Linked DNA regions of Drosophila melanogaster. The protein of the gene in region 1 interacts with the protein of each later gene in a pairwise test. Each region holds a gene or a part of one and is shown on either strand. Other genes may lie near its edges.

What was found.
Region 2: the proteins of Mcm2 (region 1) and Ctf4 interact in a two-hybrid assay, tested with the Drosophila melanogaster proteins (one study listed by BioGRID).
Region 3: the proteins of Mcm2 (region 1) and Mcm10 interact in a two-hybrid assay, tested with the Drosophila melanogaster proteins (one study listed by BioGRID).

What each region holds. Positions count from the first base shown.
Region 1 is NT_033777.3:8,262,052-8,268,857, reverse strand, and holds Mcm2 (minichromosome maintenance 2), read right to left. Parts: upstream 3,889-6,806; 5' UTR 3,758-3,888; coding exon 1,619-3,757; intron 1,562-1,618; coding exon 1,037-1,561; 3' UTR 934-1,036; downstream 1-933. Other genes in the region: CG9630 (uncharacterized protein), read left to right, coding at 1-857; RPA1 (replication protein A1), read left to right, coding at 4,488-4,523, 4,585-4,829, 4,887-6,105, 6,185-6,496. UniProt on the Drosophila melanogaster protein: Acts as a component of the MCM2-7 complex (MCM complex) which is the replicative helicase essential for 'once per cell cycle' DNA replication initiation and elongation in eukaryotic cells.
Region 2 is NT_033778.4:13,979,331-13,986,295, forward strand, and holds Ctf4 (chromosome transmission fidelity 4), read right to left. Parts: upstream 3,988-6,965; 5' UTR 3,906-3,987; coding exon 1,218-3,905; 3' UTR 1,032-1,217; downstream 1-1,031. Other genes in the region: CG6701 (uncharacterized protein), read right to left, coding at 1-10; CG8067 (uncharacterized protein), read left to right, coding at 4,357-4,493, 4,555-4,810, 4,868-5,476.
Region 3 is NT_033779.5:21,177,773-21,184,208, reverse strand, and holds Mcm10 (minichromosome maintenance 10), read right to left. Parts: upstream 4,277-6,436; 5' UTR 4,179-4,276; coding exon 3,017-4,178; intron 2,957-3,016; coding exon 1,788-2,956; 3' UTR 1,397-1,787; downstream 1-1,396. Other genes in the region: Ret oncogene, read left to right, coding at 1-127, 188-1,036. UniProt on the Drosophila melanogaster protein: Proposed to be involved in DNA replication and to participate in the activation of the pre-replication complex (pre-RC). May be involved in chromosome condensation.

The DNA.
Region 1 (6,806 bases):
GTGGTTTGGATGTACCTGAGATCGAGTGGGTAGTGCAGTGGGATCCACCATCAACTGCCTCCAGCTTTGTACACCGTGTAGGTCGCACGGCTCGGCAGGGAAACGAGGGCAACGCTCTGGTGTTTCTCCTGCCCAGCGAGGATGCCTATGTGCACTTCCTGAAGATCAACCAGAAAGTGGAGCTAACTAAACTGCTAACCGAGGAGGCTGAGGATGCAGATCGTGAAAAAAAGAAGCTACCAGCCGTCTTAGATCAACTCCATCGGCTGCAGGCGGCCGACAAGGGCGTCTATGACAAAGGCATGCGCGCTTTTGTTTCCCATGTTAGAGCATACACCAAACACGAATGCAGCGCTATTCTGCGACTAAAGGATCTGGACCTGGGCAAGATGGCCACTGCTTACGGTCTCCTGCAACTGCCACGCATGCCGGAGCTAAAGAACTACCAGGGCGGCGGCTATGTGGCGCCTGCTTTTGAAGTGGATTTATCCAAACTTACCTACAAAAACGCCCAGAAAGAACAAGTCCGGCAAAAGAAAATGGAAACTTACGAGCAAACGGGAAGCTGGCCGGGCCAAAAGCAGCACAAAAAGCGTGTTGAGTCCTGGGATCAGACAAAGAAGGCAAAACTGGATGCCAAGTCTAAGAAGGAGCTGCGCAAGGCGAAGAAGCAGCGAAAGAAAGCGGCAGAGGCGGAGGCGAGCAGGTCCGGGAAGGGAAAAAAGAGGCAGCAGTTCAGCCAGGAGGACCTCGATGAACTGGCCAGCGATATTCGGCTCTTCAAGCGGCTGAAAAAGAACAAGATTAGCGAGGAAGATTTCGACAAAGCCATGGGCATCGAAGGGAACAACGATTGACATACTCTGGGGCTGATTTGTATGCACAATAAAAAATATTTACGGAAGTATAAATTTCAATTCAAATACCTATTTTAGTATAAATACATACATAAGTATATCAAACTTTATTAGACCGAAAATGGGGGTAACAAAACATGAATACTATAACTAAATGAGATGAAGTAAATGGCTGAAACTTAAGCTGTGTTGCCGTCGACCACAATTTGAAGGATGATGCGTCGCTTGGGATCGTAAGAGAAGCCATTTGTGCGAAACAGATCTGATTCGTAGAACGGCTTCAGGTTTACAATATCCAGCTGCTTAGCCCGTTCGATCAAATCCCGCTCCATAATCTCCACATGTGTGGCGCCAGGCCCGTCCTTGCAGCGAATGTAGGCGAGCTGGTCGAGCGTCAGCTGTCGCAGAATAAAGAACAGCAGCTCGGAATGGTCCTTTTGGAAGGACAGGTACTTCTGGAATGTGCTGCGCATCTTCTTCATAACGCTGAACTTCTGCGCCTCGATAAAGCTCTCCAACATCATGCGGATGGCCATGCTGACATCTGCCTCCATTACGTTTTCGCGCAGATGCATCCGCGCGTGCGCTTCGGACATTCGGATGACACTCTCAATGTGACGCACCGTAATGGGCAGTGAGCCCGTGGCAAAAGACTCCTGTCGCAGCTGGGCGTACATCTTGGCGATCTTGTCCTCGTCGATGTTCTGTATGAAACGGAAATGTTGTTACACTTTTCCTGTGATTTCAATAAGTTCGCTTACCGTTAGCTTGGGCCGAATGTTCTCCTTAGCGTATACAATGTATTGTCGCAACAAGTCCTGCGGGATCTCATCAACGGTCTTCAGCTGTGGTTCCTCCAACTCCGGCTGCTCCTCCTCACTCGGGTGATGCTTCATATGCGAGTGTACCACGAATTTGGCGAGCTGCTGATCCTGCATGGGGTCAAATTCGTCCTTCACCACGCACAGCACATCGAAACGGGACAGGATGGGCTCCGAGAGATTCACGTTCTCCGAGAAGGTCATCGACGGATCATAGCGACCGCCAATGGGATTGGCAGCAGCAATCACGGTGCAACGAGCTTGAAGAGAGGTGACAATACCAGCCTTGGAAATCGAAATAGACTGCTGCTCCATGGCTTCGTGAATAGAGGTACGATCCTGGTCGTTCATTTTGTCGAACTCGTCGATTAGACAAACTCCCTGATCAGCCAGAACCAGAGCACCCGCTTCCAATGTCCACTCCCGAGATACTGGATTGCGGCGCACATAAGCCGTGAGACCCACGGCACTGGCTCCCTGCCCAGTCGTGAAAACCGCACGTGGCGCAACCTTTTCGGTGTACTTGAGGAACTGCGACTTTGCCGTTCCGGGATCTCCACAGATGAGTAGGTTTATATCACCTCTAACCTTGTGTTTCTCACCGGGATTCTTTGACTCACCCCCAAAGAGAGCTAAGGCCAGCGCCCTCTTGATATAATCATGTCCGTATATAGAAGGCGCCATGGATGCTACTACACGCTCTACGATACGCGGATCCTTGCTCAACTTCTGAATGGTGGCAATGTCCTCGTCCGTAAGCGACTGCACTACCTGCTTGGAGTCCTTTACAACCACATGATTGGCAATAATCACGGTGGCAAACACGGGAAATCCTTGGTCGGTGTTCAAGGAGCCATCGTAGTTATTGGTATATATACCTGTGACCTCAAGTTCATCTCCAGGCTTGCATTGATCACACAAATCAGCGAGCAAAATGACATCCTTGCTGCGAGGAATGCGTCCGGCTGGAATCCTGCCTGGCGACTCCTGCAACGTGATCTTTTGATAATTTCGATACAACGTCTGCTCCATGTTGATTGAGAAGGGTCCAGTGCTCTGGCACTCTGGGCAGGAACCGGGCTTTATCTCCGTATTTTGCGACTGAACGAAGGGACCCAGCACATAGCCGCACTTAACGCAGTCGTACTTGATCACGGATAGCTGGGGAAGAACTCCGGTGGTGGCAGTTACCACGCCCAAAGTGCGAACCAACTGGTTCAGATGCAGTTTTCTGAATGTGCGCAGCTCCTCGATCAGCGGCAGCTCCGAGATGCGCACGTGAATCTCTGTGGTGACACGTTCGTAAGTGGGGAAAATGGAGAGCACCATGTCCTTAGCCACTTTATCGAAAATCTCGAGCATTTGAAAGGGAGCCTCGGGCAGGAAATAGGCCAATACGTGTTCCTTGTTGGCCAGATCAGTGTAGGAGACGACGAACGAAGACATGTTCTGCTCGCACATCCGACGTATGCGATCACGATAGGTGTATGCGCCCCTTTCATCCACAAAAGTTCTCAAAAAGGATTGAAAGCGATTGGCGATTTCCGTGCGTGGTCCTAGCATACTGACCCACTCTTTAGTTGAGTGTCCCTTGGTATCCTCCAGGTTTTCAATAGACTCCACCATCTCGGTGTCCTCTACCTCGCCAACAGCTGCCTTCTCGCCAGCTCGTCTCTTGGCCCGGGGTCCAACGTCGTCCTCATCATCGGACTGACCGAAACCCAGATCACGATCGTCGCGGTGGATTCCGGCGGCCCGGTCGCGTCGACGCATCTCCGACTCGGCGGCAAAGCGATCGCCCTGGGACATCTCCGAGAAGTCATCCTCGTCGTCCAGCAGCGCCGGATCGTAGTGATCCAGCTCAGGCATGGGCCGGTAATCGTTCTCCATGTTGTCCCCGAACAGCTCCTCGCCATCCTCCTCCTCGGCCTCATCGCGAACGGTCTGATCTCCCAGGATCTCGTCCTCGTTCTCGAACGGCTCAAAGTCGCCAACCGGCGACGTCATTGCTGCCCGCAGATCGCGGCGTTCGGCGGCATCGCTGGGCGTATTTGGCGGTGGTGAACTGGGATTGTCCATTACGTGCGTCTGTTGTGCTTAGCGTTTATCTGTAATATGTTTTGTTTTGTACCGCCGATCTTGTTGTGACGACGCGTGCGAAAATGCGCGGGAAAATGTTTGCTAATCGAGCCAACTCAGGGCTGCGGTCTAGTTCCGATAAGCAGTGCTGTTAACGTCTGGGTCATACAGTGGACACCCGCTTCTGCATACATGTTTATAAGAACACCCGACTGTAACAACTTTCCTTGTGTCAATAAAATATCACCGAGTTTAAAGAGCTTACAAAAAATTTTAAATATATATATTACACCATTCAATTTAAAAAGTTTACAAGGCACTGAATGTAGGCTTTAATACAAAGAATGTGTCAATAAAATATCACACAGTTATTAAATATTTATAATTCCATTGAAATAGAAATGCTTACAATAACTAGTTGTGAGCATTAACACAAACAATGTAAGTCAAGCTTAAAGCTATGTGTCAAAATAATAGACAATTATTCTCAATATGTTGCTGTAGGAAATAGTAATAATAAAGTAAAATAAATGTTTTCTCTTAAGCAACCAAAACTTTACTGCCCTGAAATACAGCTCTAACTGGAAAGCAAATTGAACTAGTTCCGCAACAACTGATTCAAAATTACACAGAAGCCCTTCCCGCCTCTTCTAGCTTCACTTTGTACCCAGCCCTCGACGCATGAATTATATTTGCTTGTGAAATTGCCCAACTTATTTTTATAATCAAAATGGTCCTGGCATCTTTGTCCACTGGTGTGATTGCTGTAAGTATGCCAGCTTAAAATAATGGATTGGTATAGTAACACATCGTACTACCGGCCACAGCGCATTATGCATGGCGAGGTTGTGGATGCCCCGGTTCTCCAGATCCTGGCAATCAAGAAGATTAACAGCGCAGCGGACTCAGAGCGCTATCGCATCCTAATCTCCGACGGCAAGTACTTTAACAGCTATGCGATGCTGGCCAGTCAGCTGAACGTGATGCAGCACAATGGAGAATTAGAGGAGTTCACCATTGTCCAGCTAGATAAATATGTGACCTCACTGGTAGGCAAGGACGGAGCCGGAAAGTAAGTACGCTGTAAAACAGACTTTCGACAGTATAGTAACATATGTTTTCCTTTTAGACGCGTTCTCATCATTTCCGAACTAACTGTGGTGAATCCTGGCGCCGAGGTTAAGTCCAAAATTGGCGAACCCGTTACGTATGAAAATGCAGCCAAGCAGGATCTGGCGCCTAAGCCAGCAGTAACATCTAATTCCAAGCCAATTGCCAAAAAGGAACCGAGCCACAACAACAATAATAACATAGTAATGAATTCCTCTATTAATAGTGGAATGACACATCCCATTTCTAGCCTAAGTCCCTACCAAAATAAGTGGGTGATTAAGGCTCGCGTGACCTCAAAATCCGGCATTCGCACCTGGAGCAATGCCCGCGGCGAGGGCAAGTTGTTCAGCATGGATTTAATGGACGAATCGGGCGAAATTCGGGCCACTGCCTTCAAGGAACAGTGCGATAAGTTCTACGACCTCATTCAAGTGGATAGCGTGTACTATATATCAAAGTGTCAATTGAAACCGGCAAACAAGCAGTACTCTTCGCTGAACAACGCCTACGAGATGACTTTTTCCGGTGAAACAGTTGTCCAGCTTTGTGAGGATACCGACGATGATCCCATACCGGAAATTAAGTACAACCTTGTTCCTATTTCCGATGTGTCGGGTATGGAAAATAAAGCAGCGGTAGACACAATAGGAATTTGCAAGGAGGTGGGCGAGTTGCAATCATTCGTAGCTCGCACCACAAACAAGGAATTCAAGAAACGGGACATAACCCTAGTGGACATGAGTAACTCGGCCATCAGCTTGACCCTTTGGGGGGATGATGCCGTTAACTTTGACGGTCATGTGCAGCCTGTGATCCTGGTCAAGGGAACACGCATTAACGAGTTCAATGGCGGAAAGTCCTTGAGCCTCGGCGGTGGCTCAATCATGAAGATTAACCCCGATATACCCGAGGCACATAAGCTGCGCGGCTGGTTCGACAATGGAGGTGGTGACAGTGTCGCCAATATGGTTTCGGCGCGAACGGGCGGAGGAAGCTTCTCTACTGAATGGATGACGCTTAAGGATGCGCGGGCTCGCAATCTCGGCAGCGGCGACAAGCCTGATTACTTCCAGTGCAAGGCAGTGGTGCACATTGTCAAACAGGAAAATGCTTTCTACCGAGCCTGCCCTCAGAGCGACTGCAACAAGAAGGTTGTCGATGAGGGCAACGACCAGTTCCGCTGCGAGAAATGTAACGCACTGTTTCCCAACTTTAAGTACCGACTGCTGATCAACGTATGTATTTGCTGTGAAACATTTAGCTTTCTAACTTTAAATACAATTTCATTAACTGATATCAATACCTTTTTTTTAGATGAGCATCGGGGACTGGACTTCCAACCGTTGGGTCAGCAGTTTTAACGAGGTCGGTGAACAGCTTCTCGGGCACACTTCGCAGGAAGTGGGTGAGGCCCTTGAGAACGACCCTGCCAAAGCCGAGCAGATTTTCTCAGCACTCAACTTCACTTCACACATCTTTAAGCTGCGCTGCAAGAACGAGGTTTACGGGGACATGACTCGCAACAAGCTCACTGTGCAGTCTGTAGCCCCTATCAATCACAAGGAGTACAATAAGCACTTGCTCAAGGAGCTGCAGGAGCTAACCGGCATTGGCTCATCAAACTGAGTTCCATGCGCAGTGCGCCAAAACACGTTTCCCATAAATTAGGAATAGGCTATACATTTATTCATTACATTACATACGTTATTTCCAAATATTGTGAATGGGTTGTTATTCAGCTACGCTTCCCTTAATTAAAATAAAATTAAAAGCATTGGAGAAAGTGGAAGTAAATTGGTTTCGATTCTGAAACATGTAATATTAGCTGAGTACATATAAATAATATAAAATAACCGCCTGGTCTTGATAATATTGTTTTTTTTATTTCGTATTATCCATATGCTATCATCCCATTCTGTATTCCATACATTATATT
Region 2 (6,965 bases), on another chromosome or scaffold:
TTTTTGTCATTTTGGCTTGATGTTCTTTATTTTGTACTGATTTTTTCCTGTTGTTTTTTTCTATGTTTTTGTTATTGTAATACACTCACTCAAACAAAAAGGGTAGGATCGATAATTGTTGTTGCGAATAATCGCAATTAAGTTACTTATTTGACGCGAACAAAACGCAAAGACGCAGACACACACACACGTTGAAATATTATATATGATATAGTATGTACTATTCAGCTGACGATCGAAATGCACGGCGTAACGTTCAGGTAACAAATGAAGAGAGTGATGCGCGAGCGTTGGGTTTTATATGCACGGGTTACCCAGACGGGGATTTCTTAAAAAAGTTGTTGGGTTAAAAAATGGCTTCAACGAAAACTAATTCAACATTAAATTGGAAATAGAGTCTCTCCATCTTTAGATTTTAACGATGTCCCTGTGTGTTTGCCTGCTTGTGTGTGTGTTTGCGTCTGCAGCAGAGAGCCTTCTGAATAGCGGTGATCAGTTCGCTGGAACTGGAAATTCATTACGGAGTTCTTTAGCTTTCTTCCAGTGGCGAGAATTTCGTAAACAACGCAAAAGGAAGCACTCGCTGCCGCAATACTTACATACGTGTATGTAACTGTCAATTTAGTTTGTTATTTAAAAAATATATATATTTATTTTTTTGATATATCTAGCACCTTTTTTGCTTATTATTTCTAACCTTTATATTGTGTTTTTTCCTATGTGTATGAGTGTGTAATTTTATGTTGGAATTTGAGCGTGTAACACTTATTTACAAAATAGAATTAAACGAACACATAACTTTGACTTGAAAGTCGTGGAAAATCCAGCCTAAAATGATCGTTTCGATCGATTAATGTCATTTACAAAGTTTGGTCACACTATTTGGTTGGTTTAATTCCAAAGATAAAAATACCAACGGTATTCTTTGGAGACCAGAATGTTTAATTTGTAGAATTTTAAAATATTTAAAAATATATTGATCATATTTTAAATAAACTTGTACCCTCCGCTTTTTAAAGAATATACATTTTAATATAAATAAAAGTATATTTTATTCTTTAAATTTAAATAAGCAAATTAATCCTTAACAATTCTGTTCCATAAAAAGCTCAAATAAAAATTTGTTATTTTACATGTAGCTCACAGAATGGGATAAACGTTACACATTATTTATATAATATATTTATCTTAAACCTACTTATCAATCTACAAACAGACTATTTCTTTGCCAGCTTCAGCTTTTCGGATCCAAAGATGACTCCAGTGTCGCCCAGTTTGCGCTTCATAGCAAAGGGATTAACCGAATTCAAAGGGGACCGGTGATCGGTGGCTTTACCCATGGGAACCTCGGATTCCGATTCGCCGAATATGTTTTCCTGGGTGTCCAGCGGAGAGGGTGTGATATCCGGAGTCGAGGGCCGGGATGCTGCCGATGCTGCTGCTGCTTTAAACATATTGGGTGAATTGACCAATCTCTTCAGGGTGCCCCGTTTGGCCGAGCTCAGCTCGATGGCCTTGGGTTTTGGGCCGCTTTGTGAGGCCGATGTGGGAGTCATTGGCAGAACAATGGTGGCCGCAATGCCGCTGGCACCCAACAAAGTCTGCTGCTTGCGTGCCTCCTGGACCGCCTCCAATTGAGGTAGCAGTTCGCACAGACGGTCGGACAGGTGGATGCGTCCACGTTTCGTGGCGTATTTCACGGCCAGTTGAAGCAGATCAGTGCAGGCAATCGATTCGATCAATTCCCTAGCTCGCGTCTCGCACTCGCTGCTGCAGGCCAATGCAAACAGCTTGATGGCCGTCTCCTTTTGCATCTTCTCTGCCCCATCCATTTGCATCAGACTGGACCGCAGCAGTGCATCCTCCAGCTCGGACTTTTCCACTTCGACGTCGCAGAGCGGGATCTGCATACGCAGTTCCTGGAGCATGGGACGCGGATTGGTCATGGGATAGGAGGTACCGCGGCACAGGACCGCCTGGACTATCTGACGTTTCTCGGATACAGCGACCACAAAGAAGTTGTGCGACACACTGGTGCTTTGCTTCATGGTGTCGCAGATGGGGAACCAGGCGTTGCTGCTCCGGCGATACAACTGCAGCAGACCCATGTTGTCGGCAATACTCGGCGATCCGGTGTCGCTGTACCCAAACCAGGTGAGCTGCCGGCCTGGAGTCAGCGGAACGGGCAGATATTCTTGTCGCAAACTCAATCCATTTATGTTCACCAACATCGCGGCGAGATGCTGCTGCGTCTGACTGGGCGCGGAACTGTGGTAAACAACCATTAGGCTGTGCTCGTGTCCAGCAATAGCCACCATTGGTCCTGGTATGGTTAGCACCTCACGCTGTGTACCCATCACGGTGAAGATACGCAGAAAACTGGAGCTGGTGGCCACAGCCACTAGAAATCGCGTGGCCACAACAGCCTCTGCACTCTCGCAATCCGGGAGGCTGAGTGACCACTCTTTGTTTCCGGCGGCGGCCAGAGCAATGACTACTAACTTGCTGGATTCGTTGGAGGCCAATGCCAAAGCTCCACTGCTCACACTGGCCAAATTGTGCTGATTGTAGTTACTAATGTGTAGAGCGTGGTGAATACTAGCGTCGTGGAACTCCACATCGATGGAGCTATCGCCTGAGGGCTCCACATGGGCGGTAACAATGCCCACATCATTCCATGCCATGTAGCGATGCTCTAGATCGGCCGGTGTGGCACTGGGCTGAAAGGCCGTCTGCTGCTTGAAGAGCTTGATTTGCGGGGCAACGGGTGCAGGTACAGTTCGGCTACTGCTGTCCAGGGATTGGTTGGAGGCGTCATCGTGATCTACGGGATCCGCAAAGTTCATCACCTTGCGCTTAAGCTGTTCCAGACTAACGCCATCGCCGTCGTCTGCTGCAGTGTCCACGTCATCGCCGGCCTCAAACTCATAGTCATCGCCCAACAGCTCGGCTTGGTCGTCCACCAATCCATCGCCGTTGCCTGTGTCGACTGCATCGCCAAGAAATACGGTTCCCAGCTGGCCAGTGGCATCGCAGAAGGCCACCTCCACCTCTCCGGACAGATTCCAGGCAAGGCATGTTATGGCATTGCAGTCGCTTGGCGGAATCTCCACTGTTACTGCCTTCCGTTTCTTTACATCGAAGATGCTCACCTCGCCCTTGGTTGTTCCGGCGGCCAGGCGCTCACCATTGGGCGAGAACTGGCAGCAGCTGTAGTTACTGGACACCGAGTCGTCGCGCAGCTTAAAGGCCACTTCCCAGTTGGCCGTGTTGAGGACCACAATCTCGTTGTCAACGGCATAGGCCAGAAGTTCACCGCTTTGTGGCTCGAAATGCGGAGTGCCATACAGGCTGGCGCTCTCGAAACTGTTGACCTTTGGCAAGCCCCCAATGGTCTTCAGCTCCTTGCCCTCCTCGAAGTTCCACACCTTCAGTTGGCCATCCCCGGCCACGGAAACCAGCAGCTTTCGCTCCGCAAACAAGTCCAGTGCCAGAATGGGACCAGTGTGCCCCTCCAGCACCGTTTCGTTGCCAGCTGTATCTCCCTTAAGCACCTTTATAGTGGTATCCTCGCTGCCGGCAGCAGTATAGCCACCGGATACCTTGAGGCACGTAGCCGGTGCCGTGAATCGCATGAGGATGCCATCGCTGTCCATCTCGGGAAAGGTGTAGGCATGGATCGTATTCCGATCCGTCGAGGCCAGCAAACGGGTTCCCGTGTGGGCTATGCACATGACGAACTCGCCCAGGCAACTTGAGCGTGGATCGTCGTCACTAATGCAGGTCCAGTGCCGGATGTCTCCATCTGTGCCGCACGTGATGATGAACTCGCCGCGCGGAGTGTAAAGGAGTCCCGTGTAGCCATTGGTGTGGGCATAGCGCAGGGCACTGCGCAAGAAGCTCATGATGTGATTTAATGCTTAATTTCAATTGATCTCTCGCGATGACCTCCCGTCACTTTTGGCGCCAAAACAAATAGGCACTACCTAACAGTGTAAGCCAACGGCCGAATGGGAATGTCTTGATGTCGCTCTTTTCCAGCACTGGCCAACAGCTGTTCGTTCAATACTCTTTCTTTTTAAATATTAAAAAAAATATATCACCACGTTCCCGTTAATAATTTAAATTCAATAATACGTGAAACATTGTATACATAATTTGTAAATAGTCACACATGACGTTTCAATTGTTTAAACAACATTGGTATTACTTTCATAAATAGAAAAATTTAAGAATCCACAAGATATAAGACATGTAGGGTATACATACTTCGACTTTCCATTTTAAAAATGTAATATTTTCATTTTCCCGCAGCCGGTTGCTTATTACAGCACTGCTCTGATCAAAAGTCGGAATATGTTAAGAAAATTAACAAAACTATCGACCTTAAAGGTCAAATGTGAACTCCGCGCCCTATCCTCACTCACCCAAACATCGCAACATATATTTGACCGCAATGCCAAGAGATTACAGAAGGAAAGGGCCGCACTCAGGTGAGATCTTCTCGCCAGGATTAGAGTATATATTCAATTAGTAAACAATATACGTATACAGCGAAGACGTTGGACTATACGATTACTTGAAGGAGGAGATCGGCTTCCGCCTGGCTGACAGAGTATTCGACATTAAGCGGGAGTTCAAGGCGGCGGCGGATATCGGATGCAGTCGCGGCTATCTGTCCAGACACATTCTGGCGGAGAGTGTGGAGCAGCTGACGCTCACGGACACCAGTGCTACGATGCTGGAGCAGGCACAGGGCACTCCGGGTCTGAAAATGGTGAAACTAGTTAAGGACGAAGAGCAGCTGGATGTGGGTAATTAATCTACTTAGACCAAAGTTGCAAGTCTAAATGAGAATCCCTTTCAGTTTGAGGACAATTCACTGGATCTGGTCATCTCTAGCCTAAGTCTGCACTGGGTGAATGATCTGCCGGGCTGCTTTGTCAGAATTAAGCAGAGTCTGAAACCGGATGGGGTCTTTATAGCCTCCATGTTTGGTGGAGACACCCTCTACGAGCTGCGCTCCTCGCTCCAATTGGCCGAGCTGGAGCGCAAAGGTGGCATATCTCCGCACATCTCGCCCTTCACTCAGATTAGGGATATTGGTTCCCTGCTTAATCGCGCCGGCTTCACCATGCTGACAATAGACACCGATGAACTGGTCATCGGCTATCCCAGCATGTTCGAACTGATGTGGGATCTCAAGGGTATGGCAGAGAACAATGCTGCATTCAATCGACCCGCTCATCTTAGTCGAGAAACGATGCTCGCGGCCAGTGCCATCTACCAGGAGCTGTATGCAAAGCCCAACGAGAAGGGGATACCTGCAACCTTCCAAATCATCTACTTTGTGGGCTGGAAACCCGGTCCCAATCAGCCACAGCCTCTGGAAAGAGGAACCGGTGAGGTGTCGCTCAAGGATCTAGGGTCGATTATCGAAAAGGGCGGCAAGCTGGACACCAAAGCGGGAGATTAGCTTAGCTTCAGTTGACAGTTTTATTTGGAGACGTTGTTGAACATAATTTAAATTAAAATATACATAATTCCTTTTGCTGAGAAACTTAAACTAGTGATTCATGTTTGTGTAAAGTTTAATCATGAAATTAATGGTAAATACTCAATTCATTTGTCAGTTTGCTCGGTTCGTGTACTGCTATGAGGGTATAACTATACATAAATCTAGCGTAATCGTACGATTCTGTTATCTATAGTTTTCAATTAATATTTGGTTGCCTTTCGCCTTTACATTCGTTTGCATTTCATGGACGTAACTTTTTAACGTTGCTTTGTATTTTGTTTGGTACGTATATACAAGTACAATTTACAACAATTTCTATAATATATATGCTTGAGTTGAATTCAATTTGCAATTAAATAGACTTCTAACCGCTTTGTAGTTGTATTAGATACGATTTGCTCTTGCTTAAATATTGTTCCATTAGCAGTTTTTATGTATTTTATGTAATTCTCGATTGCTTTTATCAATTGTTTAACTCGTAACTGTTGTAAATTTAATTTGGCGCATCTAAGTCACTACCAAGTCGTGCCCCAAGCTTCCCGCGGTGTATGTACAAAGTGTGTGTGTGTGTGGTCTCATTCTCTCGAAGCTTGGTGATTGCTATTGGCTGCACCCATGGAAGGCCTAGCTCTAGTGTTTGCAGCGGTGGCAGGGCTTGAAGACTTAAGGCTAATCAAAGGCAGACGACGGCTAGTACCAGGAACTAGGTGATCCCGCTCCGGTTGGCCGCCGCCTTTTGCTTTGCTAGTCATCCCAGCGACAGCGGAGATCTCGGCGGCACGGGCGGCGGTGTGGGCGTAGCTCTCGGTGAGGATGTGGGGCTAGCTTCCGTTGCTCCTGCTACTGCTAATCCCGCAGAGGTGGCTGTGGTGAGTGTTTGGCGATTCTCTGCAGCTGCCTGCGCCGCGACGGACGCGGGCGGCAGTTGACGTCAGGTGCCCAGGAGCATCTCGCGCTGCGGAGTGTTCTGCAGCATGTTGGCGGTCCTCAGGTGAATGCTACAAAGGATGTGGTCGTAGAAGATGAGCCTAACGATGCTTTCAAGGAGTTACAGTCAAAATAATATGGAAATTATAGATCTTATAGATCTGATTGTGACCAAGATTATTTTGACTGTAACCGACTATGGATATATACTCACTTGTTGTCCTCCAGCGACATCGTTTCCGAGGAGCCGTGCGAGGCAACTGAAGTACCTGCAAGCGAACTTCGTATTGAGTGCGAATCCTCGGGAACGGTAAGCGTAACTAATAAATTGCGTTTATAGGAATTTCGTATTTTTTGTCGATTTGGTTTGACCAATCCCAGTTCGTCGTGTTGCCAATGCGTTGGGAAAAAAATTTGGTTTTTGGAAAATTGCATTTAGTTTTCAATTGTGGCTGTGATTGTGGCAATGTGAAATTTTTGTTAGCTGTGTTAGTGTTCTTGTGTTTTTTGTACTTGTTTG
Region 3 (6,436 bases), on another chromosome or scaffold:
TTTGGCTGCTAGAAATGTGCTCCTTGCGGATGGCAAGATATGCAAAATATCAGATTTCGGACTGACTCGAGATGTTTACGAGGACGATGCCTATTTAAAGAGATCCCGAGATCGTGTGCCCGTCAAGGTAAGACCTCAAAATTAACCCCCTATAACATTAATATTAATCCGGAAACCCCTTTTAAAGTGGATGGCTCCGGAATCTTTAGCGGATCATGTGTATACCAGCAAATCGGATGTGTGGTCCTTTGGCGTTCTCTGCTGGGAACTAATCACTCTGGGAGCCTCTCCGTATCCTGGCATTGCTCCCCAGAATTTGTGGTCCTTGCTGAAGACGGGCTACCGCATGGACAGACCAGAAAACTGTTCGGAGGCTGTCTACTCTATAGTTCGAACTTGCTGGGCAGACGAGCCAAATGGAAGACCCTCATTCAAGTTTTTAGCATCGGAGTTTGAGAAGCTATTGGGAAACAATGCCAAGTACATAGATCTGGAAACGAATGCCGTTTCGAATCCCCTTTATTGTGGGGATGATTCCGCCTTAATAACCACGGAATTGGGCGAACCAGAATCGTTGCAGCACCTTTGGTCACCTCCCAAAATAGCCTACGACATCCATGACCAGGCCACCAGCTACGATCAGTCTGAGGAGGAGATGCCAGTGACTTCAACGGCTCCGCCGGGTTACGACTTACCACGACCTTTGCTTGATGCTACCGCCAACGGGCAGGTTTTGCGATACGAAAACGATTTGCGATTCCCCTTAAATATTCGGAAATCCAGTTGTACTCCAAGCTACAGCAACATGACCAGTGAACCTCCAGCGACCACCTCACTGCCACATTATTCTGTCCCCGTGAAGAGGGGTCGATCCTACCTGGATATGACCAACAAGAGTCTCATCCCAGACAACCTGGACAGCAGGGAGTTTGAAAAGCATCTGTCCAAGACCATCTCGTTCCGTTTCTCTAGTTTGCTGAATCTCAGTGAAACGAAGGAGGTGAGTCCAGGATGGCAAGCTGAGGATGCAGTCTAGAAATAGTGTTTCCCAGAGTTCTAATCTCACGCCTGTTTTTCAGTTCAAACTGTTTGTTGATTAGTCTTAGTTTTACATATAATCAATTAGCTTTACGTTGACGCCAAATATGGATTTTAAGATAACCGATTTCGATTTCAAATACTCCCAAGCATTTATACACTATTTTAACTAGCCAAAGACAGCCTTAGTTTTTTTTATTATTACTTCTTATTACTTTTGCTTCAAAAAGCCATATTCTTAAAAGATAATTAACTTTATTTGTAAATTGCCAAGTTCGTCCTATTATATGCCAGAAGAATGAATGGTTATCCCAAAGAATTTTTACACTCAATAAATAAAGTTTTTAAAGGAATATTTGTGCTTCAAAAGGGGTTTTCTGTATTTGGATATTTATTTCAATTTAAGATTGTAAAACTCTGCTAAAGTAAGCTAGGTTGATTTATAATGTCCATTTAATGTAATAGCAGTCATAATATAAGTTTCAATTTATTTACGCCATAAGCTAAACAATCATAAGTAACCTTCATTATTAATCATTGAGTACATCTGGTACATCTTAAACAATCTCACAGGCACTCTAGATATTTAGGTATTCGAACCAATGTACTTATTTATCGATGACTTTTATGACTTTAATGAATGTAAATACTTGCATCTACTGCATATGTTTAAATTAACTTTTAAAAATTATTTGAAATAATATAAAATAAAATAAACCAAATATAACAGATAGCGGCCAATTGGGGCATCACTCTTCATCGGGTACCAGCAAGTTGAGATTAGCACTGCCTGCTAGGCAGCCCATAAAGGTTTCCTCGTCTCCTCTCACGGATAGAGTTTCTCTACCAGTCAGTATCTTTTTCTCCCGTATCATAGCCGTCCTTTGCCATCGCGACCCCTTGCAATTCTTACAGCTCTGTTTGGGCAACTTGAATACGGTAGTAGTTCGATTTCCGCAGTCTTTGCACTGAAAGAATCGCTTTTCAGCATCGACCACCTTTAAGGGGTGCTTCTGCTCCTTGCAGCGATCGGAAGCGGAAAAGGCTGTGTACTTGCACACCTGGCAGATGACGGCCTTGCATGGCATCTTGTATGTGGTCAGCATCTTCTCTTCCATCGCTTCCTTGCGTTCAAGCTTGTTAAAGTACTCTTCCTGCGCTTCGCGCTCTCGCATTTCCACGAGATTCGTATGCGATGAGGTGGCTGCCATTATTTTTTCGATTCTTGATTTGCGCATTAACTCCCGATCGTCCTCATCAATTTTTTGTCGCTTGGCGCTGCTAGAGAACTTCTCGTTGAGTTCATCGATGGCTCTTCTCTTCCCACTTTCACTGCCTCGTGTGGAGTTGGGGTTGATCTTCTCCAGTGGCTTCTTCTTCAGCAGGGCAGCTGCTTTCAGCTTAGCATTTTGTGCCTGGCGAGATCCTACATTGATTTCAAAGGAAAAGTTCTCGCTACCGGAAAGCTTGGGCGTTAAACTGGCATCAAAGGAGAAGCCTCGATTTTTGAATTTATCTGGAACAGGTGTAGTGGGCATACTGACAGCGGGTGTGCCTGCTTCAGATTCTTTTTTGTTATCACTTCCCAAGACATGGCCCTCCGCCTGCTTCTTTTTTTCAAAGCGCTCATTTTCCTCTTTAAGCAGACGCAACCGCTCTAGATCTTGGACTCTCTGTTTCCTAGACGCTTCCACACCACCAGCCAAACGGGAAACAGGACCGCCACGTTCTGCATATGGAATTTTAGTGGGTTCGGCTGTTTTGGGCTTTGAGGTGTGGTTAGCGGTATGGGCGAAGGGGGAAACATCATAGCCAGCCAGCATACTCAGACGATCACGTTCCTTGGTGATTAACTTGGCACTTTTTCTTGCGGGAACTGCAGTAAATGTTTGGCCGCCGTAAAATACCTCGTTTTTGCCTTAACATAAAGAAAAAACTAAGTTATATTGAGTTTTCTTCAAAATCAAAGTCTACCTACCCAAAACCTTGTTTCTTAGTTCATTGATACCACGACCTGCGGTCGCCGATTGCAGTTCAGAACGTCGGGACATCTTGCCATATTCCTGCTTTACATGAAAAATGCAATAATCACAGTCGGTTAGGTTAACCACCGAAGTGCACTTGTCCCCATTTTTTTTGGTGGCCCGACATGTGCCCAAATCTTTGGATTGACCCAGGATCATGACTTTCTGGGAGCTATCGATGGATAGGCAGGCCACATCGGAGCTTCCCGCTCTCCTCTCGAAAATAGTTGGATTCAACACAGCCAAGCACAGACCCTCCGCTGTTTTCCACAGGGATTTGTGGGCCTCTTTAAAAAGGAAAAGTGAGATCGTTTTAACCTCTCCCCGTAGATCGGATAGTTTCCACGTGGAGTAGGGATCACCCTTCTTGGTGTTTTTTACAGGATTTTTGGAAACCAGCGCGCCAGCAATGACCCAATCTTTGGCCAAATCGCCTCGCTCGATGTGATACGCAACGCCTGAGAAGGGCACAGGTTTCCTGCCCGTCATGCGCTCCTGCAGCAGTGAGCTGGAGACTAGCGGATTGATCATGCGCAGTCCGAAGACTGGATCCGTAAAAACAGCAGATACGGGAGCACTTGACTGGGATGTAGATGCCACGGCGGCAGCGACTGGCGGAGGACGTTGAAACGTGGTGCTCACCGCCGATTGCCGTTTAATAGGATTATGCGGATTTTTCAGGGGTTGCGGGGTGGATGTAACCACGTGGATAGACTTCTTAAGCTCCTGATCCACCTCCCTCGCCACCTTGGACTCGTAGGCGTTCTCCTGCTGCTGCTTCAGTCTCTTGTTTATATCACTGCCGTACTCATTGTACTTTCGTTCCAGGAAGTTCTTTACCTCCTCGTCGTCGGACGAGTCCAGCTCTGGTTCCTTAATGATAGCAGCATTCTTCTGCTTTTCCGGTTTCACGATCTTCTCGAAGGTGAAGGCATTAGCAAAACTGTTGTCTTCTCGTAGTTTTGGCACCAAAATGGGTGCGGTGGGTTTTGCTTTTTCTGACTCTGCAGATTTTGTATTTTCGTTTTCTGCTGCACCCAGTAGTTTTTCCAGAGCCAGTATTTCCTCCTCATCATCGATACTAATATCTGTTCCGGATTTCTGAGCAGGACCCATTTCATTTGGGTAGATTTGTATTTTCACGTGTTCTCGTGTTTTTTCTTGGTTTTCTAAATAAGCGCAATAACATATCTGTTTTGGCGGGCTCAGTGTGACCGGGTAATGTATATGGTTCTACAAAAAGTGCTCGTTTGTCAACACTGTACAAACAGATTATAATTTTAATTATAATTCATTATTTAAAAGAATACTTAAGCACTCCTAATAAAGAAGTAATGTAATGTTATTAAGGAATTTTCATTGTTTTCGAAATAAATATAAATTTATTTATTTGGTAAATATTAATACCAAAAACGTTCACAGCTGGTATTTTTCGTTTGCAGCACAGCTGGATTTTTCCCAAATCCGAAATATGGTCATCCGCTCGTCAATAAGTCATCTTTCGGCTTTAATTCGCGAAAAAACTGCAGGAAATCCAAAAGGAAAGTCCCTGGAAGCGGCCATAATAACGCAGCCGTGAAAATCACAGGGATTTCATCGCCAGCTGTGTCGAGCAGCCCTGGATACGCGGAAAAGAAGCTGCAGCAGCCGAAGAAATTTTGAGTGTGTGCGTGAGGAAGGAAAACGGGGGACCGCAAACAACGGATCGCGAATTTCGTCTTAAGACAAAGTCTTGCGCTGCTTGTCACGGTATTCCACGGCCTTGCCGACGGACTTCCCGGTTCTGGAAAACCGCAGCCAGGCTAAAACGAGAGAAGGTGAGAGTCGCAATATGGCGAAAAAGATCCCCGATCCCAGCCAAATCGCCATGCGGTGCTGCTCCGCCCACAATTCCGCACCCCGCCCGTTGAATTCGCAAATTAGCTTCAACCGCATTTGCCTTTGCTTTTGTTGCGATTTTTTGTTCTCCGCATTTGCAATTTTTTAAATGTTTTGCAAATATATCCCGTGGCCATTTTGTGGTTATAAGCGCCGCTTGTTGGCGGCTCCACGTGTGTAAGTGTGCGTGCCTTCTGCATGTGTATTAAATTACAACCACGCGGCCGCCCTCTTTAGTTGTTGTTGCTGTGGTTTGTGCCGTTTCTGATAACCTCTTGCATGTTGTTATCAAAAATGAGAGAGAGCCAAAGGAGGAGCACGGCTTACATCACAGACATCGCATCGCTTCAGTGACCTAATGCACTCCTAACCTTCGGAGAGGCTTTTCATATTGCTGCTGCTGCGTTTTTACACACTTCAAGAGAAAATAAATGGCAAACAAGAAGACTTGCTACCGTCGATTTGTCTCCTGGATTGTTGTTGTTTATTTTTGTTTTCTATTTTACTTGTGCACTTTTCAGCTCTGTTTTCGTTTACCTGCCATTTTTCTCCGCTCATCTTTCGCTCTCTCTCGCTTCCGCTGCCACTCTCCTCTTAGTATTTTCGCCTGTCATCTGGCGGTCAGTAGCCGGCGCCCTCCCCCCTGACCCCATCACCATTACGTTCCGTTTCCTCCTCACATCCTCATCCTCATGCATCGAAATTTGTATTTTAAAATATATGTACTAAGTCGCCGATTACTTCGGGAATTCGAAAAGCATGTTCCTGACCTGCTGTTTTTCTAAATTCTTTGATGGGACAAATGTGTCTATAAAATTAAATGTTAACTTCCATGCTTTGATAATCTACTTTAGTATGTAGAAGTATATAGCATTGACAGATACTCCTGGCACAAAAATTCGTTTTTCATGTTGTTAATCCAAATTCAGTCTGTTGACCAAAATTATACAAAAATTATATCTATTTAATATTATTTTAAAAAACCAAACTATGATCATTTGGAGCACTTTTTCCTATGGTATCTATGATTTTATGCTGGCTGTGAATACACTCTGTCTTAAATTCTAACCACGGTTAAATAAACAGGTATTATTAAGATTAAGTTATAGGCTTATTCATATACGTAAATGTTTTATATTTGGTCAAATAAATAATACCCACAGAACGTAATCGTCGCGATGCACAGCGAATCATTTTTGGTAGGCGTCTCTCGGCCTTGTTTTTCGTCGCTTGTAAATTTCTTTCCACATTGCACAAATCATCTTTCTGTGACAAGAAAATATTTGCCAATGTTTATTGTCTATCGTAGAGCGTCCTGGCCAGCTGCATGTTGAATGTTTCTGCGAGTGCTCCACAAGATATTGCCGGTATGTGAGCCTTCTGTACCACAAATCTCAATCTCCGCGATTGCCCCAATCCGAAACCTATTTTCCCCACCTCCTAGCCAGCTTTTAGCCTTGTTTCTGTAGCGTCGATTGCAGCCACAATTGGAGTAT